Sus scrofa: one gene and its partners. The protein of the gene in region 4 purifies or fractionates together with the protein of the main gene of each other region. This does not show direct contact. Links are inferred from orthologs where the notes say so. Each region holds a gene or a part of one and is shown on either strand. Other genes may lie near its edges. The genes, in order: SHCBP1, ARF6, RACGAP1 and KIF23.

Region 1 (7,715 bases), on a different chromosome or scaffold from region 4:
CTGCAATCTACACCACAGCTCATGGCTACACTGGATACTTATCCCACTGAGCAAGGCCAGGGATTGAACCCATGTCGTCGTGGATATTAGTCAGGTTCATGACCACTGAGTCACAACAGGAACTCCATAGGCTTAATTTTTTAAAGCAGGAAGTGGGAGTGAGGTGCCTTCTTCCATAATGTAAAGGATAAACAAGGCAGGCGTAGCTTGTTCCCATATGGAGCTAACACTGTAACAAACAAAATGGCAATAAGTATGGGACAGAGAATGATGAGCAGGGGTGGTGGTCCGGCTTCAGTGGGAGGGTCAGGGGAAGTCACTTGTGCACTGCAATGAAAAGGATGAAAAGGAAGCAGCCATCTGAAGAGCAGGAAAGATGGAAAAGAACTGAGGCAGAGACAAGCCTGGACGTTGGAGGCACAGAGAGGCAGTGTTTCTTGCCAAAGGAAGGAAATGGGGTGGGGGCTGCAAGAGGTAAGGTAAGAGGAGGAGCAAGGAGACCAGGACTGTTGGGAAGGAGCTCAGCTTTCACGGGTGACTAGTGCTATGAGAAGCCATCAAGCCAACACCAGGTCTTTGGTAAATGCGATGCTTTAGAGGTTTTAAGCAGAGGAATGGCACACTTCTCTTTTAAAACAATGACTTTGATGGCTTTTAGAGAATTGAGGTGGGGGAGTGGCAGGTACTGTCATAACCAAAATAATAGGCCTGAAGTGCAACCAAAGATACTAGCACAACCCCGAAATTTTAAATCCATGGCTGCTTGCAAACCATGCCCTTGTACATAATCACTGCAGGATGTGATGTCATTTCCTAAAGGAGCTACAGCCGCAACTTGTATTCATACTCTCTGGTTTACATTTTAGTTTAACAGGGGGTTTTGTGGTCCAATTAACAAACACTGAGAAAAATTCACAGCTGTAATTAGAGTGCAAATTTAATGTAAAAGGCCCAGTCTGTTGAAGAATAAGATTGCATTTACTTTCTGCTATGGGACACACTATTAAGAGGTACCACATACCTACAAACATGTTGGGCAAAAAATAGGCTAGTTTTTAAATGCCTGTTTGGTTTGAGCTACTTTAATGAGCTACAACTAAGAAGGCAAAAAATTAATTCAAACCTTACCTACTTTATAATTAAGCCTCTTTGTTTTTTAAATGGTCTCAAATACCTCCCCCATGTCACAGGTTTATAATCCATTTCCCCTTGAAAATGGACAAGGAAACAAACCACCTCAATTCCCTGGCAGCCCCTTAGCTGCCTTTAAAATTTGTGGGGAATACTTCTTCATACACCATGGCAATTAGATGTGAAAAACATGCTCTTTTCAATCAGCTCATAAACCTTAATTAAAAATAAGCACTTTGGCTATCATAGTCCGAAGGAAAGTGTTTCTAGCCAGAGACAAATGTCTTAGTAACAGAATTAAATTTACCTCAACCAGCACCTCGAACACATTAGTGTGCCAGACTGCCCGCCATCCAGATGGTTCAAGGACCTTCTCTAAGAACTCAGCTGTGAATTCTCTTACCTCAGAGGCCTTGCAGTCAGCTATAAACAAATTAAACACAGTAAGAATTGGGACTGCATAAAGCAGACAGCATGAAGTTAATAAATTCACCTAAATCTACTTTCTCAGAACCAACAAATGGCAGTCTGAAGAACTGAAACAATCTACTGGTAAAAGACAGAAGCAGCAAAAAAGAGGGCCTACTCACCTAAAATATAATCTTGATAAGCTCTGAATCGCTCATAGAACAAAAGGTGACTTGTCTGGAACATTTCTGGGAAATGAATTTTTCCTTCTGGCACGAAACTTTGTAAACTACTACCTGGTTTATCGTGACTGCTGCAATCACTGCATGAATCGTCATCTTGTAACAAACCTAAGAAAAATAACAAAACAGGCAGGCTCGACTATCCCAGACACTTCCAATGCTTATCAACTACTTTTATTTTTACATCCTTGCATAGAAATCCCAAACAAGGGAGTTCCCATTTGTGGCTCAGCAGGTTAAGAACCTGAGGAGTATCCCTGAGAATGAGGGTTTGATCCCTGGTCTTGCTCAGTGGGATGAGGATCCAGCATTGCTGAAAGCTGCGTTGTAGGTTGCAGATGCAGCTTGGATCCAGCATTGCAGTGGCTGTGGTGTAGGCCGGCAGCTGCAGCTCTGATCTGACCCCTAGCCTGGGAACTTCCATATGCTGCAGGTGCGGTCCTAAAAAGACAATAAAAATTAAAATTTAAAATAAAAATTTTAAAAAAGAGATCCCAAACAAAATATAAACTAATATTTGGGCATGATGCTTTACTTCCCTTTTTTTTTTTTTTTTCACATTGTCAGGAAAGAAAGAACAGTTTTCCAAATTTGAAAATGTCTCAAATCCAACTTCTACTTCAAAACAATATGAACTTAAAATCCTTCATGGGTTAGGTTTTTGTTGCCGTTCTATGTGGTTTCTCAGGGAGGCAAAGAAAGAGGGTTGTTTTTCAATTCAGTGAAAATCACTCAGCCATGATTCTTACTAGAACTTACAATGGTCAAATATCTTTCAGTCATTTTCTCTCCCCAAACAATTTCACAAATCTGCATTAAAATAAGGAGGTGATTTCCTACACTCCCTTTCAAATTGAACCCCCCCCTTTATTTTCTATAAGATCAGCGTGTCACTGCCCCTGAATAAACATGCATGAGTCTTAATAATGCATAAGGCTTACTTCACCAAAGTTACTAGGTTCCTCCTCACTAATTTCAAAGCCTGTGGCTAAAGGAGGGATTAGAAAATGCTAATCGTGTTAGGTCTGGGCTATATGTAATTATGTTTCACAAGGCATTATTTGGCCAGTGGTATATCTAATTCTGTGGAATAAGATGTTTTTAATAGACAAAACGACCATTAAATAAACAATGCTGAGGGTGGCATTTAGACTGGCAAAGTCCTTTCCAGCGGTTCCAGGAAGGGTGTCTGAGGCTGTTATTAGCAGCAGTCTTTCTCTTCCCTCACCCCTTTAATTTCTCTTTCCTTTCCTCCCTCCTTCCAATTCTTTGCCCCAGTTCAGGCCACCAGAATCATGTGACCCCACAGATGACCAAAGTGTACAAGGGTCTCCTGCTCACAGACACCAATGCACCTGAGCCTCCGAGGATATCAGTACCTTACTTACTTACTGTGTGACAATCTCTGTGCCTCAGTTACCTCCTTTAAAAAGGGAAGGTGAGAATCGTATGTCTACTTCAATCAAGTGAATTAAACAAATTAGTTGTTAACCACAACAATACCCCTCACATAACATACAGATATGTTTGTTAAAGAAATAATACTTTCACTTCACACCCATTAGGTGGTTATTATCCCCCCCCCAAAAAAAAAACCAAGAAAAACTACCAGGAAAACAAGTGTTGGCTAGGATGTAGAGAAATAGAAACCCTTATGCATTGTTGGTATGCAGGTAAAATGGTATTACCTCTGTGGAAACTGGTATGGTGGTTCCTTAGCAATTTAAAAATACAATTACCATATGACCCAACAATTCTCCTCTGGGTATATACCCAAAGGATTGTAAACAGAGTCTCCAAGAGATATTTGTACATCCATGTTCACAGCAGCATTATCCACAATAGCTAACACATAGAAGTAACTGATGGATGAATGGGTAAGTAAAATGTGGTATATACATATGATGAAAAATAATTTAGCCTTAAAAAAAGGAAGTTATGACAAGTGCTAGAATATGCATGAACATTGTGCTGGGGGAAATAATCCAGACACCGAAAGAAAAATATTCTGTAATTCCACTGATTGAGGTACTTAGAATAGCCAAAATCATAAAAACAAAGTATAAAGTGGTTGCCAGGGACTGGGAGGAGGGGAGATTGGAGCGTTATTTTTCAATAGGAATAGTTTCAGTTTACAAGATGAAAAGAGTTATGGGACTGGATGGTGGTGATGGCTGCATAACAATCTGGATGTATTTAATACCAATGAACTGTACACTTAAAAAACAGTTAAAATGGTAAATTTTATGTTATGTGTATCTTAACAACAACAAAAATATCTTACTACAGCACAATCCTTTAGAGCCAATTTGAAAGTATCACTTTTCACACATTATCTCACTTCATCTTTACCACTCCATAGCACCATTGCCTGTTTTCCAGATGGGAAAACTGAAGCCAAGTGACTTTTGACAGTCCACAAGAGGGATTAGTAGAGGAATTTTCCAAGTCATTTATATCTTCTTTCTCCAGGACTCCTTCCACTACCAACACAACTGAAAATACTGAAGCAAAACCTGAACCAGCTTAAAATATCGGGGGTGGAGGGTGGGGTGGAATCTCCGTGAAGAGGTAAGAGGTGAGAATCAGACCTGGGTTCTATCTTTAGACACTGTCCCCAATTGGCTCCCCTCCCTGGGCCTGTCATCTGCCTTTAAAGTAGAGTGCAGCTGTCTAGGCCAAGCGTACAAATTTCTCCTCTTTCGCCAAAGGGGAGTGTAGTTCATAATCTCCTTTAGGATGCAAATAAAAAAGACGCGCCCATTCTGCACAGACAAACGCCCCGAGGAGGCCCACCCAGGCAGCCAGGGTAGGAATTCGCAACCCCACCCAACCCCCTCCGGTCCCCAGGAAGCTGAGGCCAGATTGGGCAGGGAGGACAGGAGCTGCCCAAGGGTACTGTCCGACTTCGACGTCCAGAGAGTGAGTCAGGGCCTCGCCCAGCCACCGCCGCCACCCAATCCAGCCGGGTCCGGAAGGCCTACGCCCCAAGCGCCCTCGGAGGGTCTGGACACCACCCCCGGCCGCCGCTGACACGGTCCGCTGAAGGCAGCGGCTCCTCCGGCCTGACTCGGCGGGTACTCACCTTTCTCGAGAGGCGCCGGATGCTCCTCCGCTGACCAGCGGGTGCGCTCGGGCGCCATCGCCTCCGACCCCAGGCCGCCACCGGCCAGCAACCCGTCACCCATTTCAAATTTCCGCGGGCGGCCGCCCAGCCGGGTAAGGTGATGACGCAGGCGCTTCCGATTGGACAATGGGCCTAGGCGCTTGGACCAATTAAAAGAAAGTTTGCCTGGTCCTCTTTCCATACGAGCCCCGCCCCCTTCAGCCTCCCCCCACCCCAGTGACAGTGCCTTGGCGCCATCTACTGGCCGGGCGGACTGCTATTCTGGTCCAAGCTCTTGATGAGCAGAAGGCACTTGAACAAAGTTGAATTAGGACATAATTAGGGATGTTTTGCGAAAACCTGACAAGTCATACCTGGAAATGGAGTAGAGCGGAAAAGGCACTGGCTTGAGAGTCAAAAAACACTGTTTAGACTTGTTTCTGCCATTATTACTGGTGTTAACTTGAGCAAGTCACTTCACCTCACAGATCATCTGCAGTTCTAACAGTATATTGGCCTAGACAGCTCCAAACTTTTCACCATCAAAAATCAATCTCTGGGGAGTTCCCGTCGTGACGCAGCAGAAACGAATCCGACTAGGAACCATGAGGTTGCAGGTTCAATCCCTGGCCTCGCTCAGTGGGTTAAGGATCTGGCGTTGCTGTGAACTGTGGTGTAGGTTGCAGATGCGGCTTGGATCTGGCATTGCCATGGCTCTGCCGTAGGCCAGCAGCAACAGCTCCGATTAACCTAGCCTGGGAACCTCCATATGTCGTGGGTGCAGCCCTAAAAAGACAAAAAACAAAAAACAAAAAAAAAAAACCAATCTCTCTCTCATTTTTTCTCTCTTCCCCTCTTTCATTCACTGCCTATACATAAAAGATATTTTTAAAGAATGTCAAGTTATATCTAGTATGTAAAGGTATGTTTTGGAGTTCCTGCCATGGCTCAGTGGTAATGAACCTGACTAAGATCCATGAGGATGAAGGTTTAATCCCTGGCCTCACTACGTGGATTAAGGATCTGGCGTTGCCATGAGCTGTGATGTAGGTCAAAGACTTGGCGGGGAGCCCAAGTTGCTGTGGCTGTGGCTGTGGCTGTGGCTGTGGCATAGGCCACCAGCTGCAGCTCTCGTATGCCTCGGGTACAGTCCTAAAAAGCAAAATAAATAAAAAGCATGTTTTATCCATGCTTATTAATCAAAGATAACTATAATTCCAGTAATAATGGCTAACATTTATTGAGTACTATGTTCAAGATACTTTCCTGCATATTGTATCTGCATTATCTTAATCAACCTTCAAAAGCCATCCGATGAGACAGGAAATATAATTATTACCAGTCTACAGATGAACAAATGGAATCGCCAATCAATTAAGCAATGCCCAATTTAACCCAGCACAACTTGTATTAGAAACCAGTCAAATTCTTGCATCTACCCTTTAATGCCTCTGCCAGGCCATGAGTAGTGGGAGCTGAGGTGGCCAGGGACAGCGGAGGCTACCAGAACATGGTGGTTTGAGTCCCACCAAAAGCCGAGAGCCTGGTCATAACAGATTTATCACGGGGAAGACATTTCCACTTGCTGCCTTGAAGGAAAACTTTGGACTAGCGTCTCTCATGCCCCCACAGCTGAAACAAAATGGAGCCAGGAGAGGTGATTGTAGCAACCTGCAGTTAATTCAGCTGGCTTCTCCAGGAAACAAGATTTCTTTGTCTCTCAAGTACAATGTCGACCTTATGGCTATTGGTTCACTGAACAAATATTTGTTGAGCACCAGGAGGTGAAAACACACGCAACAATAAAATCAAGACTAGCATTGGGACTTTCTTATAATTCTCCATTTAACCCTTCCACCCGCAAACCCCACAAGGGGCAGGATTTCTCCTCAGCCCTCTTCCCTGGCCTTGAAGACAGCATAGCTCTTCAGTAGTTCAATTATAGAATATTTCCTCAGTCATCAAGAGAATTCCCAAACTAATGCTTCTGGAAAAGTCTTGGAAAAGAACATGCAGCCACAGGGTCAGAGAAAAAAACACCTGTGCTGCTGCAAATTCTATTAAAGACAAATCATTTATTACACGGGCTACATTTCCAAACTTATATTTGCATGGATTATATTGAAAGTTTTAGAGTTTTCCCCTAAGTGGAGACCTTTTAGGAGCACACATCTTGGGAGTTTGCTTTCCCTGCGCCCTCCCCCTAATCCTAAGGAGAAGATTTTGGTTGGTTGGTTGGTTGGTTTTGGCCACACCCACAGCATGTGGAAGTTCCCTGGGCCAGGGATCCAACCTGTGCCACAGCAGCAATCCGGGCTGGATCCTTAACCCACTGAGCCACAAGGAAACTCTGGAAAGGGCTTTTTAATTCTTCCTTTCCAATCCCTTCACTTGCAGCCCATCACAGCCTTCCACCTGCCCTAAGGTGGGGTGGCATCCATTATTCCCAGTCTTTTTTGTATCTCCACTCTTTTTTTTTTTTAATATTTTGACTAACATTTATTAAGAGTATATAATGTACCTGGCTCTTCGCTATAACAATAGTTATAACCTTTAATCTTCAAACAGCCTTGTGAAGTGAGGATTAATTCTTCCTTCTACATATGAGAAATCGAAGGTTCGGGAAACTTTTGTTTATACTTCAATGTCCCATGTGGTACATTTGTACACAATCTATAACATGATCATGCACCCTTATTTTGGTTTCTAGGTTTTTTGCTTGTTTGTTTGCTTTCTATAGGAATTACCAACTAGACATTAAGCTCCTCATCATTAGAGAGTGTCTTCTATTGATTTTGTGGTCATAATGGTATTCATCACGGTGATGG
Region 2 (6,153 bases), about 12 Mb from region 4:
CCTAGCACAGTGCCAGTGCCAGGTAGATGCTAGTGCTTCAAGCTGCTTCTATCTTTTTTGGCCACACCTTGGGCATATGGAGTTCCCGGACCAGGGATCAGTACTGAGCTGCAATTGCGACCTATGCCACAACTGTGGCAATGCAGGATCCTTAACCACTGTGCTGGCTGGGGTTTGAACCTGGATTGGACCTGTGACCCAGTGTTCCCAAATGCTGCTAATCCTGTTGTGCCACAGCAGGAACTCCAAGTTGCTTCTATTTTTAATAATATCACACAGTACACTGAAAAATAAATCTAAGCCCAGCAGCTCAATCTTCCATCTGGATGGAAAAATTGGTATCTGCTCTGAGAAAACTATTATGTTGGAATGAGGCAAAATATAGTACTCACTACCACATATAAAAAATTCCTTCCTCAAATGTAGTAGTAATTACTATGACACTTTCTTTATAGTTATAAAGCATTTTAAGAAATACAGCTGACCCTTGAATAGTGGTACAGGGCTGGGGATGGGGGTAAGGTAGGGTAGTAGGGCTGACCCCAACACAGTCTAAATTCTGAGGATAACTTCTTAGATGGCCCTCACATCCCAGGTCCTGCATCCGTGGATTCAACCAACCCAGATTGTGTAGTGACAAGAGTACATATTTATCTAAAAAAAGACAAGTACAGTGGATCTGTGCAGTTCAAACCTGTGTTATTCAAGGGTCAACTATACTGTAATCAGATTTCCTGAAGTACTTACAGGGGGTGAAAAAGCCTAATTTTGGGGTTAAGAGAGAATGAATAAATTCACCATATCAGCTTTGTGACCTCTGAAAAATTACTCAACATCTCTAACTCTCGGTTTCCTCCTAATTAATACTAATTAATGAACCTCAAAGCTAACTCACATGGTTGCAATGCATATTAAAATATTTGAAGTATTTAGTACAGTGTTTATAACAATCAATAAATAATGACTATTTTCATTCATGGTATCATTCTTCATTTGGTTCAACAGGTAAAGAAAATGAAGTTTGCAAAGGCTGAGAGAAAAGGATTCACAGCTATAAAATGGAGGGTGACATTTGAAACCCCAGTCTTCTGACTGCACATCCTTTGTTTTAAGACAGTACATATTAAGGAAGAAAGTAAATTAAATCATTGCCAAAATATTAGTAACTTCAGTAAATTTACTTCAGGCTGAAGCTTAAAGGTTATCACTTAACCAATCTACCATTATCAAATTTTTTTTAAACTGTGAAACAAAAAGTATGTTACTTTATGCTATCACATCATATTCTTTAAAAAAAAAAAACAAACACGCTATTTTCCTGTTTTTCCTCCTTTTGGTTTATTTCAAGCTTTCTTCATATTTGAACTTTATCACTAATCATTTGATACAAAGAGGGTTCCCTTTCTACAAACATTATACGTATAATAATAAAAGCCCTCAAGTGGGCTTCTAGACAGTGGGGTCAGAATTACACTCAGTTTACGCATGAGATCAACTCGATAAGGTCAAATGTCCGAATCCAGGCGTCAGAAGTAGTTTTTCCTATTCTAAATCCAACGCTAAGATTATATAGACGAGGCTGCTGAAAATTAAGAATGAGAAACTACTACTAATCACAGTAAAAGATATTTAAAAAGGAAAAGCATGGGAAGTCTTGAAAATACTGTAATTTTTAAGAAACGTGGATTGCTCCTGACGGCTCAAACACTCAAAAGACGGGCTTTAGAGGAAACCCAAACCCAGTAAACGCGCCGCACTGAACGGCAAATCCCACGGGAACCACTGGCCTCCCACGTGTCTCTCAGGAAATGCACAAAACGAAGGAAAAAGAAAGCCAAAGGGAGTTGGGTGAAAGGTTTAAAACAGCAGATAGGGATTCACAGGGAGATGGAGGGCACACGAAGCCTGGGGTGGGCAAGAGAGAACTCGCAGAGCATCTGGCAGGCGCCGAGGACGGAGAAGAGGCCTGGAAGCAAAGCAGGGGGAGGCTTTCATCTGGAGAGCGGGCGGCCAACGGGCCCCACCCAGTGGATCTGCTTCTCAGGTTCCAATGGGGGCGGAGGAGGAGAGCGCGCGGAAGAGAAAAGCAGAGAGGGGAGAAGACGCTAGAATAGCTACAGGTGGGCGCGGGTCAGAGCCCGGGCTGCGCGGGAGCAGGGCTGGCCCCACCTGGGAGCCTCCGAGCCGCCGTAGCCCCGCCCCTCCGCGCGTGGCGCCCCTGACGCTTGGCGCGCAGGCCGCTCTCCTTACAGAGGTCGCTCTTGTCCCGAACGGTCGGCCTCTGCTGCGCCTGCGTCGTCGGGAGGGGAAGTGAGGCGGTTTCCTCGGCGCCTTTTCCGGCGGCGGCGGCGGTAGAACTGGGAGGAGGCGGTGGAGGCCGGAGGGAGCCCGCGCTCTGGGCGGCGGCTGGAGGTAACCTCCTGGGCTGAGCTGGAAAGGCGGGCTCCTTCGGCCTCCGCTCTCTTCTGGGGCTCCCGCAGTAACTCCCTTTTTCCTCTCTGTGTTTCTGCAGGCAGCGCACCGAGTTCCCGCGAGGATCAATGACCCGACGGGGCGCCGGAGCCGCTCTGCTCTCGTGTGGCCTGGGTCAGTGGTGAGCGCGGTGCTCCGCGGACCGGAGGCCGGGCCGAAGGGCCGCAGTCTCCCGCGGCGGAGTGAGGTGAAGGCGGCCGAGCAGGAGCCGGCGGCGGCGCTTGTACGGCGCCTGCGGGGGGAAGGGCAGTTCCGGGCCGGGCCGCGCCTCAGCAGGGCGGCGGCTCTCCCAACGCAGACTCAGGCCGCGGCGACGGGAGGAATCAAGTTGTGTGGTCGGTGATGCCCGAGTGAGCTACGGGCCCGGGCCTCTGCCCTGAGGAGGCAACTCCCACGCAGGCCGCACGGGCCCCCTCGCGACTGGGAAGCTCCGTTTCGGTTTCGCGGCGGCGGCGGCGTTGTTGGAGGGGACCCGGGACACCTGAATGCCCCCGGCCCCGGTTCCTCCGAAGCGATGGGGAAGGTGCTATCTAAGATCTTCGGGAACAAGGAAATGCGAATCCTCATGTTGGGCCTGGACGCGGCCGGCAAGACAACCATCCTGTACAAGTTGAAGCTGGGCCAGTCGGTGACCACCATCCCCACCGTGGGTTTCAACGTGGAGACGGTGACTTACAAAAACGTCAAGTTCAACGTATGGGATGTGGGCGGCCAGGACAAGATCCGGCCGCTCTGGCGGCATTACTACACCGGGACCCAGGGTCTGATCTTCGTAGTGGACTGCGCCGACCGCGACCGCATAGACGAGGCCCGCCAGGAGCTACACCGCATTATCAATGACCGGGAGATGAGGGACGCCATAATCCTCATCTTCGCCAACAAGCAGGACCTGCCTGATGCCATGAAACCCCACGAGATCCAGGAGAAACTGGGCCTGACCCGGATTCGGGACAGGAACTGGTATGTGCAGCCCTCCTGTGCCACCTCGGGGGACGGACTCTATGAGGGGCTCACATGGTTAACCTCTAACTACAAATCCTAATGAGCATTCTCCACCCATCCCCCAGAAGGAGAGAAATCAAAAACCCATTCATAGGATTATCGCCACCATCACCTCTTTGAATTGCCACTTTCTCTTCTTTTGAATTTGAACTTTGGAGTTACAGTTCTACGGTTTGGGGGAGGGGGTTAGGGGGTTTCTTTTTTGTTTCTTTTCTTTTTCTTTCTTTCTTTTTTTTTTTTTGGCTTTGCGTTAGGATGCTCTGAGCTGACTTTTGACACGAACACAAAGTACTTAGATACTCTCGTTGACTTCCAGCAAATGGGATGGGGGAAATACAGCAGTTCTTGATAAATTCCTTTATAATAATGGTTTGATTTTTTTATTTCGAGAGAATCTTCTTTTCCAATGTATGCTTTTTTCCTTTTTGCCCAGTTTCCTTATCACTTGCTGTAGATGGCTTATTTTGCATTCATGCAGACTATGTTGCAAGTCTGTTTCATCTAGTAAACTGAAAATTATTGCTTAATCAAACTGCCGTTTGTCTTTTATATTTAAGGCCTTTTCCCCCTCCCTTATGAATTCCAACTTAGTAAATTCAAATGTGACCTTTTATATCTAAGACCAGTATAGTAAACTTAGCCCACAGGGGCAAATAATGAGTAATATCATTGTAATATGTTCCAGTTGCACATCAGTATGTTAAAACAGGTAATGTAAGTTCTTTGAAATGTCAGCTTTTAAGTTCTGAAACATACATCATGCATGAGTAAGGATAAAACTCAAGTTCCCCTTTACAGAGCTAACTTACAGTGCATAAAAATATGAAAATGTAACCAGTCAAGGACACAGATTTTTTTTTTCACTGCAAAGTTAGCAACTTTGCTGTGTTTTCCCTCTTTTTTAACTTTAAAAACAGACTCTTCCAGAAAATGGAGCAATAATGTTGTATGCCATATACAAAAGAAATATTTGTAGATATTTTAAGTGACTTTTGGGCAAAACTGGAATATATCTTTTACTATGTTTCAAATGTCTAAGACCAATCATATTAAAATTACCAGAATGTTTACTTTGTTCATTAATAAAGCATTTAACAATTCAAGTTATATGCACCTTTTACCTAGTTGGAAAGAAAAACATTCCTGTTTCCACATTACAGCAACTGAATAAGCTGAAGATATCTTTTTTTAATAGACGAGTGATTCTTATCTCCATTAATTAGAACACTGGAAAAGATGTTTTATAAGAAAGGTATTCTTTTTGATTGTAGGATTAACTCATGCAAATAGTCAGATATCCTGTTGGTTCAATGATACACCATCTCCTTTAAGGAAGGAAATGTGAGATGAATGAATGATGTGTAGACTTGAAGAATGACAAAGGGGAAGTAGGATGTAGAGAAAGAACCTACAGATGACAATGAATGTAAACTTATTCAAGGGTAAGCAGTGTGCTCACTGGTGATATCCAGATCTTAACAAGATGACTTGCTTAGCTGGTTAGGACCAGTAACAAGATTATTGAGACCACTATGGTAATACTTTGAACCAAATGTTAATGCTTGATACAGAATTGTGTGTAACAGCATCTGGTTCTTATATAGCCTTAAGGATTAATTTTAGAGATCCTCAAGGAATTAGGGTATTTCACAAATGTAGACTGCAATGGCAGCATACAGGAAAAGGCCGAGTGGGTTTTGTTTATGAGGGTATCTGAAAACTAAAATTGAGCGGGATGTCATGGTATATGATTGGACAGTATTGGTCCTTCATGTTTTGGCCATATTGTATAACGGAGCTTTTACCAAAGATGTTTGAGCAACATAAGGCTATAAAAAAGTAACTTCAAACTTTTGACAAACATTTTACTTAAAGTAGAGGAGAAAAGGTGCTATGTTGTAGGCTCCTGATGGTGCAGAGGGATTTTTGAATTCAAAATGCAACTAAAGTATAAAGTTCAGTTTCACTTTAGTAGAAGCATCTCTAGAAATGAAGCTGATATATCTAAACATTTTAGCTGCTTTTAAAATTCCCAGTTTCATCATAAATTTAGTGTTTTAAATGATTACTTATTAAGGTACATAAACATGGATTATACAAATATCAATGTTATAGTAACATCCTGAAACAAGACAAGCACAAAGGTATTAATGCCTAAACTGGAGGAAACTTGAAACCCTCATGTAATTCTTAAATGTAGTATTCTAACTTGTGACAGACAAATTGGTAGGCAGCCATTTTTTTGTGTCTTAAAAAAAACTGGGGGCATAGTTAAAATTTTATACATCAAGTGATTGCTATGGAATGTAGCAGGTGAGATGTTATTTTTAGTTTATTTGAAATGTCTAACTGAAGGTTGGGGGAGGGGGGAGCAAATATTTGAAATTTGGAAAACCCTAAACATTTGGGTAAGAAACTGTAATTTTCACTTATATTTTCTTTAAGGATATAAAAGGTTGATAATTGATAAATTGAACCATAACCATTGGTGATCATGGAGCAGGTAATTATAGCCTGCAGAAAAAGTTATAATCTTAAGAATTTAAGAAATAAGATCCTGAAGTTTTTGTTTAATTGCATCAATTTCTGTATTTTCTGTGAATTTATAAACTGCAGTAAGTTTTGAATGAGGTTGATCTTGTCTAATATAAGTAAATGAGTCTGTAGACTGTGATCTCC
Region 3 (7,284 bases), on a different chromosome or scaffold from region 4:
TCAGCTGCTATTTCAGCAAAGGCCTCATAACTGCAACTGAAAGTTACAGCCAGGGGTATGGGTGCTATTCCCTGCTGAGCCTGTACTACAGGCTACTGAAAATTCACAAGGCAGAAGAGTGAAGTTTAATTTGATACCAAATGTGGTTACTTTCTATAAAACAGTATTACCCAGCGTTAGCTTTTTAAGAAATTAAGCCTGTACAGCTTCTTAGTTATAAAGAGTCCCCATAAAACAACCAGGCAACAAAATAAATAGCTCTAAGAGTGTTGACCTTTCCCTACGTATTACATTAGGGATGTTAAAGTCAAAGCCTGGTTGAGACTCTTTTAAACAGCAATGCAGTGGAACCAAAATTATTGTCTGGTCTTGGCTCACAGAAGACCTTTCTAAACCAGAAGAGCTACAAGAGCTCTCTGGAGAGTAAACACTGGAAGTATTGCTGAACTGCCACTTCCACCTCTAGGTTTCTTAGCAATGTGCAAGATTAGTTATTGATGGGCAGTTTAGCACTAACATCAAATTTTACCCAGGATGAAACATTCTAAGAAAAGCCAAGAGAAAGAGGGAAGCCCCTGAGCCTTTATTTCCCACCCACCCTTCCTCCAAAGTCTTTTTCTTCTTGATTCAGCACACATTCCAGAAGCAGTATGCTTAAGACTTTAGATAACAAGAATTTCTGACAGCTGTGTTGCTTGTGATCAGATAACAACAGATGCAGGTTCCCCCACCTTTTGTTCCCAGCATTGCTGCTGGATGGTTGGCCTCTGTTGAGAAAAGCCAGAGCTGATTTTTGCTCCTCGCTTAGTTGGATGCTGCCAGATGTGTCACACATGAGCATCTCTCGAATCAGCTGAATCTGTCTTTCCTACAGATCAAAGCAGAGTAAAACATTCTAACTAACCAGGGGAGAAAGCTTCACCTCAAATTTATGGGACAGGCAGACCAGAAGACATTAAAATACAGCATTATGCAAATGAGCCTTCAGGAAGACTGCTACACCAATGGCATATTAATTCACATCAAGCCCAGATTGTGTCTCTGATTTCTGACTGGTAACATGAACTCCATCTAGAATAGTGGGGTTTCTGCGACAAGACTTTTGGATCAAACTGCTAATCCAAGAGAAGAGAGTATTGCAAAATCAGAGTCCCAAAATAGATTTCATACAGCAAAAGCACTTCAGTGTCATTTTTATCAGGACAATTATTGGCTTCTTCTACGGATCAAAGCTACCACCCACTTTTCTAAATGATGGAGCAAAATGCATTAGAATGGATACAAAGTTGTGCCACCCTGGAACCAGACAATTCAAGCTGACTGAGGCATCTAACAATGTACCAAGATGAATTCGTCCCTTCTCATAAAGGCTTCCCTGTGTAGCATGACCCACCCTGGTACATCAAAATGATAATGTATGTTCTAGTGTTCACACTGGTTGAATATATCCTTCACCCTAAATTAAGAGCAGTGACAAAGGAAAGACTTAAGAGTTGTCCTGCCTGTATCAATGATAAAGCACTAGCTACTGATAAAAGGTTGACAATGCTCTAGATAGTGCTTATCATCAACGAGAGACAACCAACAGCTTGGGACAGATCAAAAATGCTAAGATTTCCCTGCCTTTCCCCCTAATTTTTTTTTTTTTTTTTTAGGGCCACAGCCGCAGCATATGGAGGTTCCCAGGCTAGGGGTCTAATTTGAGCTGTAGCTGCCAGCCTACGCCAGAGCCACAGCAACGCGGGATCCAAGCTGCGTCTTTGACCTACACCACAGCTCACAGCCACGCCTGATCCTTAACCCATTGATCGAGGCCAGGGATCGAACCTGCAATGTCACAGTTCCTAGTCAAATTCATTACCTCTGTGCCACGACGGGAACTCCTCCCCCTAATTTTTAAATTTAAAAAAAAATAATTTTTTTTTTGTCTTTCTATCTTTTTAGGGCCACACCCACGGCATATGGAGGTTCCCAGGCTAGGGGTCTAATCGGAGCTGTAGCCTCCAGCCTACACCACAGCCACAGCAACGTGGGATCCAAACTGCATCTGAGACCTACACCACAGCTCAAGGCTACGCAGGATCCTTAACCCACTGAGCGAGGCCGGGGAACTACCCCCCCTAATTTTTTTTAAATTGAAGTAGAGTTGATTTACAACTTTGTGTTAGTTTTCCCTATAATTTTGATTCCTCAAATTCTCGTTTGAAATGTGTCTATTAAGTAAAAGTTTCAGATCTAAAGGAAAAAAATTTAAGTTTCAACCTATGAAGAATAGGATTCCTAGGCTATAATTTCAGCTCCAATCATGGACAGCCTATCAATGGACAGGCTGTTTTTAGTTCCTTAATGTAGAAGAAACTGGGTATATCTAGGCAAGTGGAAACTTTACGGCTAATGCTTCCCCCACCCCCCACTGTCACAGTCTGATGTAAAAAACAATACACACCAGCTTTTCGCAGTCAGCCTCAGCTCGCTGTCTCCGTTTGATCTCTACATCCACCTGATTGCGCGCGTGCTTCAGCTTAACATCCAGAGCACTGCGCTCGGTCTCTGCTTTCATCAAAAGATCCTTGTATTTGCCCAGCTCATGGTCTGTTCTCTGCCACTTTTTACGGAAATCTTCAAAGTCCTTTGCCAACTGGATAAATTCTAAGAAAAGGGGGAAACTTTAATAATTCAAGCACCAAACTGAGTATAAATGCTCTAATAAATGAGTCCTCTGGTTAGTTTTATTCCAAATACATAATTAAGGGACCAGCTGAACTATGGGCAAATCTAGCTGAAAATAACCAGGAGCAGATCCTGGATATATGTTCATCACTCTGGATAAGAGCTTTGTGGGGAGCAGTTCCTATTTCAATAGGCCACTAACTTTTGGCTTAGCCAGTGGCATCTGCTATGGAATAAGTAACTCATTAGTCACCTGTCTCCAGATGTAACACTAACAGTGAAAGCTCCTGAACAGAAGGCAATCAAAGGGGGATACCTTTGGGGCAGCTGTCACACACCAGGACAGTTACAGCTATAAAACAAAAAACAGCCTCCTTTAGAGTCACGCATTGCTGTGCCAGAGAGGCGTTAAAGAGCAAATTCAAATGTAACTGCTGTAATATGCTCCAGAAGATATAGATTAATATTATAGATGTCTAGGCCTGCAATTGCATTCAGCTATATAATTATACAAATATTGATTTGAAAGTAAAGAGCCAATTTGCTTTTGCTGTTTAACACAGCCCTGAAGGGCATGTAAACATTCCAGTTGGAAAGACACAGGAAGAGAAGATCATATTAGCTTTGGGTGAGTCACTGATAGCGGAATGTGCACTCTTTTCAAAAGTCTGCAAAGAGAGCATCACTTCCAAGGCAGCACCTCAAAGCATGATAACCCTGGTGGCATCTGTTCTTAGCACTTGCTGTTGGCAAAGACTATTCTACAGTGCCTTACTATTCTAGTTAACCTCAATCTACCTCCAAGCATCATTCTCCACCAGCATCATGGAGGAAGTTTCCAAGGTGTACATCTGCTGCTGGTCAAGCTAACCCAGTTTACGGCTGAAACTAGGTCAAATTCACACAAAGCCAGCAGATTCTTAGGTAATAAGGGCACTTTTTTTATTTGAATTTAACCTGAAAGCATAGAGATAATATAGTGCCTTTTTAAAGTAATTTTAATGATTGACTAAATTTCAAACTTACAAATTAGGACAATTCCAATGTGTAAACTAAGGCTTACACATAAGGATTTTACTAAACAATAGGTTTTTAGCAAAACAGGATATCATGACCTAGTTATCCTAGACAATGCAAATATCAAGGATCTCAAAAAATATACTATTACAATTCAAGTCTTCTTTTTTTTTTTTTTTTTTTTTTGGCTGCACACATGGCAAAGGAAGTTTCTGGGCCAGAGATCAAATCCAAGCCACAGCTGTGACCCACGCTACTGCGGCAACACTGGATCCTTAATTCACTGCACTTGGCAGGGCTGAGGACTGAATCTTCACTGCAGCAGGCAGAGACAACACTGGCCCCGTAACCTGCTTCACCATAGCAGGAACTCCTCAAATAGTTTTAAATGATATATTGGTTTGGTTAACAGTTTGGAACACATTACTAAGGGTTTTTTTCCCCCCCTTAATTTAAACAAAAAGAAAACAAACACATCCCTTTGCAAATTAAACGATTTCAAAACTATAGATTCACAAAGAAAAACATTAAAAACAAGAGCTGATTCTTAGTCATATTTACTCAAACAATTCCTCAAGCAGTGCACTTATTATTTTTGAACTTTTTTTTTTGTCTTTTTGTCTTTTCTAGGGCCGCATATATGGCACATGGAGGTCCCCAGGCTAGGGGTCAAGTCGGAGCTGTAGCCACCGGCCTATGCCAGAGCCACAGCAACCGGGATCCAAGCCATGTCTGCAACCTACACCACAGCTCATGGCAACGCCGGATCCTTAACCCACTGAGTAAGGGCAGGGATCGAACCCACAACTTCACAGTTCCTAGTCGGATTCGTTAACCACAGAACCACGACGGGAACTCCTATTTGTGAACTTTTTTGAGGTATGTAATATTTCTTAAAAAAAATTGATAAATAAAAGGAAACAAACTTTTCAACTACACAGTCTAAAAACTTTCTAGCTCCGCACTGTGGTCAATTAAATGTTTCTAAATATAGTGTTGCTTATACTTGCAAATATTTACAGAGTTAAAAAACAACTTTGAGAATAAAAAGATTTCCATTTGATCTAATTTTGCTGGTTTTATCTTTAGGATATTCCTTCTTGATAAGTCTTATTATATTGGGGTTTTGATTCCCATTCATTGTTAATTAGCATATGTTACAGATATAACTAAATTGGATGACAGAACTGAAACCAAATAAAGTATCAGTTCATTTCAAGGAAGGAGTTCCTGTTTTAATAATACAAATGATTAAATTACTAATTTAGTTTATGTTAGACCAAAACTAGATCATCTGCATATATGACGAAGATATTACTTTTATGTACAATTCTGTTATGAACTAATTGTGCTAGAATGGATCAAAAACCCACTTTAGACCACAGACCAGGAGAAATTTTCATGTTGGAGATCAATAAACACAAATGGCAATTTTTGGTCAGTGTGTGAATCACAATTCAATTTGGTACTGGCCTCTGTCATGTAATATACATTCAAAAGGTTTATTAAAATTGTCTCTTAAACAGTTATATTAAATTACAAAATGCATCTATCAAAAGGAGAAGGGAAATTTCCTTAGAACAAATTGAGAATAACCTCTGATCCATAAAAAAAAAAAAAAAAAAAATCAGGATTTAGTTCATAGTTTAGCAAAGAGATTAAAGCAGCTCCAGGAATCTTGTTTTTTTCAGCTCACTCCTTCTAGGGCCTTTGCATAGGCTCTTCCTTGTCTTTCTCACCACCCTCTAAGCTTAAGAGCAAGGACCCTATGTCTCTCTCACTTTATCCCCAGGTTCTTGCACTTTACCTAGCACACAGTAGGCATTTAAATATTCAATGAATGAATGAATGAAAATGGCTGTTCAGTCCATATTTAAACCCCACGCATCCAGGCCACCTTACCTAATCAACTTCTCATCACTACCTAATACCCTCTTTCTAGCTAAACTGGTTTGTCCTTGCCCCTAGGACAGACCTGTGTCACTTACGATCAGGCTATGCTCTTCAAATGGAATGCCCTACCTACTCTTTTTTTTAATAGCTATACCTGCGGCATATGGAAGTTTCCAGGTTAGGGGTCAAATGGGAGCTGCAGCTGCTGGTCTATGCCACAGCCACAGCCGCGCCAGATCCAAGCTGCGTCTGTGACCTACACCACAGTTCAGGATCCTTTTTTTTTTTTTTTTTTTTTTTGGTCTTTTTGCTATTTCTTTGGGCCGCTCCCTCGGCATATGGAGGTTCCCAGGCTAGGGGTCTCATCGGAGCTGTAGCCATCGGCCTACGCCAGAGCCACAGCAACGCGGGATCCGAGCCGCGTCTGCAACCTACACCACAGCTCACGGCAACGCCAGATCCTTAACCCACTGAGCAAGGGCAGGGACCGAACCCGCAACCTCATGGTTCCTAGTCGGATTCGTTAACCACTGCGCCACGACGGGAACTCCAGTTCAGGATCCTTAACGCAGCAAGCAAGGCCAGAGATTGAACCCACATCCTCATGGATACTAGTTGGACTCTTAACCCACTGAGCCACAAGGGGAACTCTCCTACTCTTCTTTATGTACTCATTTTTCTAGTCCCATTTGATCTATGAATCCTTTCCTTATCTGTTTGCTCCACATTTTTCTATACTTTCCCAAAACATATATTTCGAAACTTGTATTATCTTCTGTTTCACGGGACAGAATCCTGTCTCTGAAACTTAAATACCACAATCTTCTTGAAGACACACCACATACAACTTAGTTATCATCTACTGTACATAGCATAGCACCAACATAACATGGTGTTGGCACATAACAGGCACCTGATAAATATTAAGTAATATTTATTCCTAATTTATACACCAACATCAAAAAAGTTCAGGCAGGAGTTCTCTCATGGTGCAGTGGGTTAAAGATCTGGTGTTGTCACTGCAATAGCTTGGGTCACTGTTGTACTGCTGTGGTGTGGGTTTGATCCCTAGCCCAGGAATTTCCACATGCCGAGGACAAAGCCAAAAAAAGAAAAAAAGGGCAGGAAGCTCATGATAATAATAGAAGATAAAAATCATGTAGACTGGGGAAAACAAAGATAAAATATATAGGCTATTAAAGTCATTTTATTTGAATACAAACCTTCACTCTGATCTTTCTTTCACTAACTTTGGACTTAGCCTTAAAAAAAAAAAAACAACTATAACTATACAGAAAGGAGAAAAGGGAATGAAGTTACGATGATGGAAAAGTAAGAGTAAGGAATCAGGGAATTCCCTAGGCATGGGAGGAATTCCTAGGATCTCAGAAGAGGACAGAGACTGGAGTGGTCACAGAAAGGGGATTCTACAGTCTAGAAAACACTAAGACACTTTAGTTCCTCAAAAGCCAACGTTCCAAATTAGGGATCTGGAGAGGTAACAAAATGTACCTCTATTTTATCACAGAAATCAATGAGGGGATAGAAATTTGCTTATAAAATAAAGGTTCCTGGAGTTCCCGTTGTGGCTCAGCGGTTAACGAATCCGACTGGGAACCATGAGGTTGCGGGTTCAATCCCTGGCCTCACTCAGTGGGTTAAGGATACGGTGTTGCCATGAGCTGTGGTGTAGGTCACAGACGT
Region 4 (7,881 bases):
AGAAATGAATATATCTATGTTCACATAGATAACGTCACACAAATAACTATACCAGTTTCATTCATAATCACCAAAAAGTGGAGCCAGTTTAATGTTCATCAACTAGTGCTGTATAGACTGTCATATAGTGGAACACTAATCAGCAATAAAAGGGGAAAAATTACTGACATGTGTGATGTGATGAATCTCAAAAACATCATGCTGAGGTAAAGAAGGGATGTTCTGGGGAGTTCTCTCTGCGGCTCAGTGGTTAACAAACCCGACTAGGATCCATGAGGATGCAGGTTCGATTCCTGGCCTCACTCAGTAGGTTGAGGATCTGGTATTGCCGTGAGAGCTGTGGTGTAGGTTGCACATGCAGCAGCTCGACCCCCTAGCCTGAGAACTTCCATATGCTCCAGGTGCGGCCCTAAAAAGCAAAGAAAGAGAGAGAGAGAGAGAGAGAGAGAGAAAGAAAGAAAAGACAGAACTCGAAGGAAATCAGAAAAGTGATTGCCAAGGACTGGTGGTAGGGAAAGGCAATTGACTGAGAAGGAGCAGCACAAGGCAATTTTTGATGTGATGGGAATATTACACATTTGACCATGCCAGTGGCTATATAGGATGGTGTGTGTGTCTGTCAAATACATAGATGGTACAAATAAAAAGGGTGAATTCTAATGTTTGTAAATTATACTTCAATAAACCTGATCTTTTAAAAAAGCCTCCCTTCTATTCTCTACCCCTCTCCTACCTTCACCTTGGTCTGGATCTCTAATTCCAGGGGAAAAATGCAAGTCTTTTACCAGCTAGCGATGGAGAGTGCTTGACCATTTTTGAACAGAGAAATGATATAATGAATTGACATTAAAAAATTAAGTCAGCTTTAATAAGGACATAAGTGAGAAGGGAAGAGGAAACTTATCTAAAGAAAAGCTAGGGTTGGTGCACTGTAGCTGGGTCCTGGATCGGGGTGTTCTGTGAAGAAGGCATGGGTTCAGACACGTATGGAGCACCTTCATTGCCGGCACGGGGGCTACAACAGCGCCATCTAGTGATGATGTGGGGATAAGCTGGTAGAGGAGACTACTAAACAGCGATTGCAGATGGCAATGCGAGCTCTGAACAAATCAACAGGCGCAATGACTGAGGGAGGGGAGGGGACAGTAGATGGAGAGCAGGGGTCCAACACCCCGAGCAGGATCATTGGCAGAAGATCTGCTGGGATCTGAGGTAAGGAGGCATTGTCAGAAGGGAGGGAGGAGAGCTTGACAGCAGAGGGCCATGGTGTCTGAGCCCAGTGTGTTCAGGGCACTGAAGGTCCTCCTGGCTGGAGGAATGCAGTGGGAAATGATACGCGATGAGCTTGGAGAGGAAGAGCCTCTGGGCCTGTAGAGGGCCTCCAGCAATGGGAATTACTTTAGTATTACATGTAGGGAGATGATCAGATCTATGATTTAGTGGTGAGCTGGCTGCAAAAAGGAACCAGGATTGGAAGATGGCAGCGGGGAGGCCTGTTAGGTTACAGTTGCTGCCATCCAGACAAGAGATGGTAGTGGCCAAGGGGATGAAGAGGAGAGGTTTGAAGGCTATTTAGTTGGTAGAACTGTCAAGATTTGATGATTGAATGTTGGAACAGAAGAAGAGGCAAAAGTCAAAGATGGTACTTTGCACTTGGGCTTGGGTGGGTGCATAGACGATAATGCCATCCACTGAGGGAGAACAAGTTCAGGGAAGAGATTAGGATGTGTCATGTGTGAGGTACTTGTTGGGCATCCAGGTGTAGAATTCAGTAGGCTGTTGGACATATGCAACTGGAGCCCAGAAAAGCAAACATGAATAGTACGTGAAGCTATGGGCGTGCCTGGGGAGAGAGCGCAGCTAGTGACCACCAGGTCAAAACCCTAAACCACAATATTTAAGGGACAAAAGAGAACTCACAAATGAGGCTGAAAAAGAGGGGCTAGAAATCTAGGAGGAAAACAAAGGAATGGGAAATATTTTTTAGGGTGTTAAGAGGTCAAGAAAGATAAGTGTGGGGAAGAGCCAAATTGTTTTAGCATCAATGATCTTGCTGAGAAGAGTTCAAGTGGAAAGACTGAGACTAAAGCCAGGCTGCCTAGTAATTAAGTGGTAAGCGGGAGTTCCGTGTGTGGTGCAGTGGGTTAAGGAACTGGCATTGCCACAGCTGTGGTGTAGATCGAAGCTGTGACTCACATTCCATCTCTGGTTCAGGAACATCCATATGCCATGGGTGTGGCCAAAAAGGTAAGGTAGCAGCCCAGCCCAATTCCTAAGTAATACAGATCCCAACCTCTTATTTGACGACAAATAAAGTTCTAATGGTTCAAAGACTTAAACATAAAAAACAAAGCAATAAAAGCATTAGGAAAAATATACGATTAAACGTCTTTTATCTTTTTTTTTTGGCCTCATTTTCCCAGGCTAGAGGTTGAATTGGAGCTGCAGCTGTGTACTCTCTGACGCAGCAATTCTGTGTAAATAATAGATTTTCAAGTTTATTCTCTATAACTATGTCTATAGTAGCAAACACTGGAACCATCTTTATGTGGAACAGTATGGGCTGGAGATATGTCAATCCTTAATCGTCTGGTCCTGTAGAAAGCTGAGGAGATGGGACCACAGTTCCATAAGAGCACGTACATAGATTCATACTGATAGTCAAAGTGAAATAAAATCAGTTCATCTTAGAAAAGAGTGGTTCTGGACGTTGCTCCTCAAGGACAAGGATCAAAATTTTATTTATCTCGGTATGCCCAGTATCAATCATTGTTAAGACTTTGATATACAGGAAAGAGGTGGAGGAACCAGAGAGGGAGATCCCAGGAAAAGTGAAGAAGAGAGAAATAGGAAGCCAAGGGGATACCATGATCTGGACTCCGAAGAGAGAGTCTGAGACTCTGTGCAGGGCACAGCCCAAGTAAAGGACACTCCTGGGCGGAACGACACTGTTGACCACTGAATTAACCCTGGACTTGCCCTTCTATCGGACTTCTCGTGCTGTGGGAAAGGAAACTCTCAGTGTTCTCATAGGACCATGGAAGCTGTTGTACTTCCTAATGTCTGAGACCCGCTTCCCCATCCCGCTCTCATCACTCACACAGCCGACGCTATTTCCGGCGTCGGTCGCCTGGGAGACGAGCGCCATTTCCCGCAAAGGAGGAGGTTCCTCATAAGCCCCGCCCCTTCCCCGCGGGCGGGCGCTGATTGGGTGGTTTGAAATGCGCCGGGCGCGAGCTCACCTGCGCCGGCAGCGGCGTCTCCCGGCTTTACGGAGCGCCGCGCCTGAAAGGCAGAGTCTGTGTTCCCGAGGCCGGTCTCTACGGTCCGCCGTCCTCGCCAGCCCGCCCGACCGAGCCCGGCGTTCCGTGCTCGCATCCGGGCAGCGTCGAGCCTGCTGCCATGAAGCCAGCGTGAGTACCGGGCCGCGGAGCTGGGGCTGAGCCGCCCCGGGCCGCGCCTTCGGCCCTGAGCCCGGAGCCTCCCGGAGTGTGGCCCCCAGAGTGGGAGGGAACCCCCACCAGGACCTCCTGGGGGAGGGGGGGACCTGGGCGTCGAGACCCGTCCGCTTGGACCATCCCAGCTCCCAGCCGCCCGGAGTCGGCCGCCCCGGCTCCCCGCCCCGGCTTCACTTCGACCAAGAAATGTCGGCCCCTAGTTAGGGGTGAGGGAGGTTTGGACTGCGACTCCGGTTCCAGTTAGCCGGGTCGCCCTCCACCTGGCTCCGGACCAGCGGCTCCAACCTTTTCTGAAGTTCCCCTTTCCCTCCCTGGTCGTCCGCGGCCCCGGGTTGCATTTTGCCGAGTTAGTGCGGGTCGGAGGTCGACTTGGGTGTGGGGCCAAGTGTTGTATCCTGGGGTTGGTTGGGTAAGTGGTCTCAGCCCCTGGAGAGTCTTGGCATCGGTGTGCATTGCGGGCTTTTCTTAGCCTAGGGGGCCGAGACCACTCCCGGTTGTCGTTCGGTTACTTTTCTCTATTCTTTGGTCTCACACAACCCGGTCCTCGGGCATAAATGCACACGCCCACATTCCTCACCGAGTGGAGTGATGTTCCCAGGGCACACTCATTCCTTGACTGCTATTGGGTATCGAAATACTTGTGCAAAGAAGAGGGCTGACTTTATATTTGTCGTCATCATGTAGCTAGTCGTTTGCAAAAGGCAACTTGTTTTCTTAAGAGGCTAAAGTCAAAATCTTTATCTTTGGGAAGAAAAATACGGAGGTTAAATAAATCTACCATAATATCTTGGACTTAAAACACGAATTTGCTTGTTTCACCTGGGGAAGTGTTGAGAAAGTATTTTAATAGTCTGTAGTCCGAGCCAATAACTTCATTTAATGTTAGCGTTAAATGTTTAGTCTATAGATAAATGGGGAAAAGGGGGAGTGGCATGTAGAGAAGTGATAAAGTAAATCATTATTTTTTCTACCATCCCTACTTAAAAAGAGCAAGAAATTGCAGTTTGGGGACCACATTTTGGGGACAAAGGATGATAGTTCTGAGAATTCAATAATTTCTTATTCCTTGAAAGTAAAGACATAAATCTTGATGAAAAAATGGATTTTCTCCATCTGCATTTTTATATTTTATTGAAGTTGATCACTTTTCAGTCTGCCTTGGCAATGGGCTGTTGGCACTGAAGCCCACAGCATATGGGCTTATGCATCTGTATATTTATGCCCTTGGACATAAGTGTGGTCAATTATCCATAGATTTTTCAAATTTGTAGTGTCTGTAAAATTGTTGCTTAAGAAAATAAGCAAGCTATTTTACAAATAGAACTATAAATAGATGTTAAAAAACAATTCAACAGAGTACATTTTAAAGATCTTATTGGGTTCATTTAACAGTTAATGAATTGGGCAGCATCCAGTCTAGCAGATAGAAAGGAGTGCTGAAGAACTTTACAAAATGGAAGACTTATAGGCAGACAGGGGCAGGACAGGAGAATTACTAGCAATGTGTAGATCGTGGCAAGGTTAGCATCCTTTAGTGGGTGGCAGTGGTCTGTCAGGCAGATCACCTCACTAGTGCTGACCAGGTAATTCCAGGTTGGCTAGTTTAAGAGTCTGCTCCTGGGAGAGGTTGAGACTATAAGTTAGGTATTAAGTCTCAGTTTGGTGACACAGGGCTTAGCATAAGTGATTCCATTTGGGGCCTCTTGTCTCTTTTTTCAACAAAGAGCAAGTATATTTAGTACCAAAACTTTCTCCTAAGCCAATTTTTTTTTTGCGGGGGCGGGCGGGGGGGGAAGCTGCAGGTGGGGCATATGGAAGTTCCCAGGCTAGGGGTTGAATCAGGGCTGCAGCTGCCAGCCTACACCACAGCCACAGCAACATGGGATCCAAGCTGCATCTGGGACCTATACTGCAGCTTGATGCAACGCTGGCTCCTTAGCCCACTGAGCTAGGCCAGGGATCAAACCCAAGTCCTCATGGACGGATACTAGTCGGGTTTATAACCACTGAGCACACTGGGAACTCCTTAAGCCAAATTTTATTTACTTTTGGATTATACATGCCAAAATACTCTTCTACTAATGCAATTTATTCCTGTTCATGTTACTTGGGGTATAGTGTTTTGGAACTGGTAAAGAATAAACCCTAGGTAGGTTGTCTCTATTAATTATAGGTGAGGTTTTTTGTATGTTAGTGTTGAGCTGAAATGTTTTTGTATTTATGACCAGGAGGACTAAGACACCCAGGAAACCACCAGTGAAAAAGGGAGCCCAAACAACTCTTAAAGACCCAGTGGGGGTAAGGTTTCCCTGTGAATTTGTGTGTGTGAATTCATGTCTTTTGTGTGTGAATGTGTGTGTGTAGGGACAGAGGTGCGGAAGTGGAGTCAAAGAACATTTGGCTAAAAGGTCTGTATTTAATTGCTTAAGGGTTGTTCCAGCTTTGAGATTTTATTTCTATGTAGGATTCATTAGTCCAGTAAAATGAAGTCTTTGGTTGTTGATTGCATACTTCCTATAATTAATTATAATTTGAAAAGTTATATAATGAAAAATGGAGTATCTTGGAGAGTTCTTTATATTCTTTGGGATGGGGGAAAGCTTTCTGCTTGCACAAACATCCTCTCCTATCTTTAGGATAGTTGTATAGTAACTTAGGGTATTCTTCATGCGGAAAGCCCCAAACTCCATGCTTTGGGGGACCAAGTTTCATAAAGACTCCAATGTAGAACAATTTAATTCATCTCATGACTGCTCATTTGCATGTACTTCACAAGTTTCAGTCTTGGGAACTTGCTTTTAAAAGCAAATGGCAGGAGTTCCTTGGTGGCCTAGTGGTTAAGGATCCGGCGTTGTTACTGCCGTGGCGCAGGTTCAACCCCTGGCCTGGGGAACTTCTGCATGCTGAGGGCGAAACTGGAAAAAAAAAAAAAAAAAAAAGTAAATGGCAAATGAGGGAAGATTGGTTTGCTCTGGGCTGTTTTTGTTTTGCTTTGTTTTGCTTTTTAGGGCCACACCTATGGCATATGGAAGTTCCCAGGCTAAGCGTCGACTTAGAGCTGTAGCTGCCAGCCTATGTCACAGCCACAGCAACACAGCATCTGAGCTGTGTCTGTGACCCACAGTACAGCTCACAGCAACACCAGATCCTTAACCCACTGAATGAAGCCAGAGATCGAACTCACATCCTCATGGATACTAGTTGGGTTTGTAACCTGCTGAGGCAAAATGGGAACTCCCTGCTCTGGGCTTTCCCTTCACTGGCACTGGAGTGTGTCTCTTCGTCTGAGTTGAGGGAACCAGATTCTTTGCACATACAGCTGATTAAGAAGACCACATTTCAGATCTTGCATTTACTTATTTAGTATATTAAGTACTCAGCTTCCAAGTTTTAATTGACATCCAATTCCATATAATCCTAACAGCTTTTCAAATAATTCTCATTGTGTGATATGTGGATTTCTAGAGAGTTTTAATTTTATGTGCATTTAAAATTCTCTCATATCTAATATATCTTTTTACATTTGACAATCAGCAAATTGGGCAGCAGGTAGTGGGGTAGAAAGTTTTGGCTTTCATAGCTTCAAGTTTATATAGATCTCTTGCATTTAGACACCAAATGTTTGTTGAATGAATAAATGAAAATTCAGGTAAAAAGTCAACCTTTGATTTTTAAGCATCTTCTTGTATTTTCAGGTATACTGTAGGGTACGCCCACTGAGCCTTCTTGATCAAGAGTGTTGCATAGAAGTGATCAATAATACAACAGTTCAGCTTCATACTCCTGAAGGTTATAGACTCAACCGAAATGGAGACTATAAGGAGGTAATTGCTGTTGGAACCAACTGTTTTTAATTAATAACTTCTTTCCTGAGTGGTTTTTCGATTTTTTTAATTGAACAAAATTCCTGTGTTTCCACTTTTTTGGAAGATTTATTTACTTCACTCTAACCATTATATTTGAAGTGTTTTTAATGTCTAGGTTGTATGGACACACCTTTGGTATACGGGAGTTAGAAGATTCCTTTTAGAGGATAATTTCTTATGCTAATATTCCTTTTTGGAGCATTTATGTTCATAACAGCTTTTTTTTTTTTTCTTATTTTTGTTCATGACGGCTTAATATGGAATGATATCTGATTGTGCTAGGCTGTTACATATATAAGTATATATATAGTTTCATGTGTGGGGATTGAAATAACATTTAATAGGATAGGCACGGGATACTTGTATCCACTTCTTACAAAGTGTTTAAGCTGGAGGGTAGAAGGAGACTTCTAAAAATGAATAAAGACAGAGTCCTTGCCTTTATGGAGTTTACAATTTACTTTACAGATGCTAAATAACCCTCATAGATAGGACATGGAAGACAGGTGTGCTTCAAGAAAGGGACTCTGGGAAAGGATTAATTCAGGTTGTCATCT

Evidence for each region.
Region 1: the proteins of KIF23 (region 4) and SHCBP1 purify together in Homo sapiens (affinity purification with western blotting; 9 studies listed by BioGRID and IntAct, with this or other methods). This does not show direct contact. The link is inferred for Sus scrofa from reciprocal best matches to the Homo sapiens genes KIF23 and SHCBP1.
Region 2: the proteins of KIF23 (region 4) and ARF6 purify together in Homo sapiens (affinity purification with western blotting; 3 studies listed by BioGRID and IntAct, with this or other methods). This does not show direct contact. The link is inferred for Sus scrofa from reciprocal best matches to the Homo sapiens genes KIF23 and ARF6.
Region 3: the proteins of KIF23 (region 4) and RACGAP1 purify together in Homo sapiens (co-immunoprecipitation; 10 studies listed by BioGRID and IntAct, counting the BioPlex papers as one, with this or other methods). This does not show direct contact. The link is inferred for Sus scrofa from reciprocal best matches to the Homo sapiens genes KIF23 and RACGAP1.

The regions. Positions count from the first base shown.
Region 1 is NC_010448.4:38,027,171-38,034,885, reverse strand, and holds the start of SHCBP1 (SHC SH2 domain-binding protein 1), read right to left. Parts: upstream 5,018-7,715; 5' UTR 4,970-5,017; coding exon 4,867-4,969; intron 1,890-4,866; coding exon 1,722-1,889; intron 1,555-1,721; coding exon 1,439-1,554; intron 1-1,438. UniProt on the Homo sapiens protein: May play a role in signaling pathways governing cellular proliferation, cell growth and differentiation. May be a component of a novel signaling pathway downstream of Shc. Acts as a positive regulator of FGF signaling in neural progenitor cells.
Region 2 is NC_010443.5:179,711,051-179,717,203, forward strand, and holds ARF6 (ADP-ribosylation factor 6), read left to right. Parts: upstream 1-2,986; coding exon 2,987-3,514; downstream 3,515-6,153. UniProt on the Homo sapiens protein: GTP-binding protein involved in protein trafficking that regulates endocytic recycling and cytoskeleton remodeling. GTP-bound form plays an important role in the transport of multiple palmitoylated proteins form the Golgi to the plasma membrane.
Region 3 is NC_010447.5:15,916,784-15,924,067, reverse strand, and holds part of RACGAP1 (rac GTPase-activating protein 1), read right to left. Parts: intron 2,650-7,284; coding exon 2,447-2,649; intron 869-2,446; coding exon 732-868; intron 1-731.
Region 4 is NC_010443.5:167,236,773-167,244,653, forward strand, and holds the start of KIF23 (kinesin-like protein KIF23), read left to right. Parts: upstream 1-3,200; 5' UTR 3,201-3,402; coding exon 3,403-3,413; intron 3,414-5,686; coding exon 5,687-5,756; intron 5,757-7,153; coding exon 7,154-7,282; intron 7,283-7,881.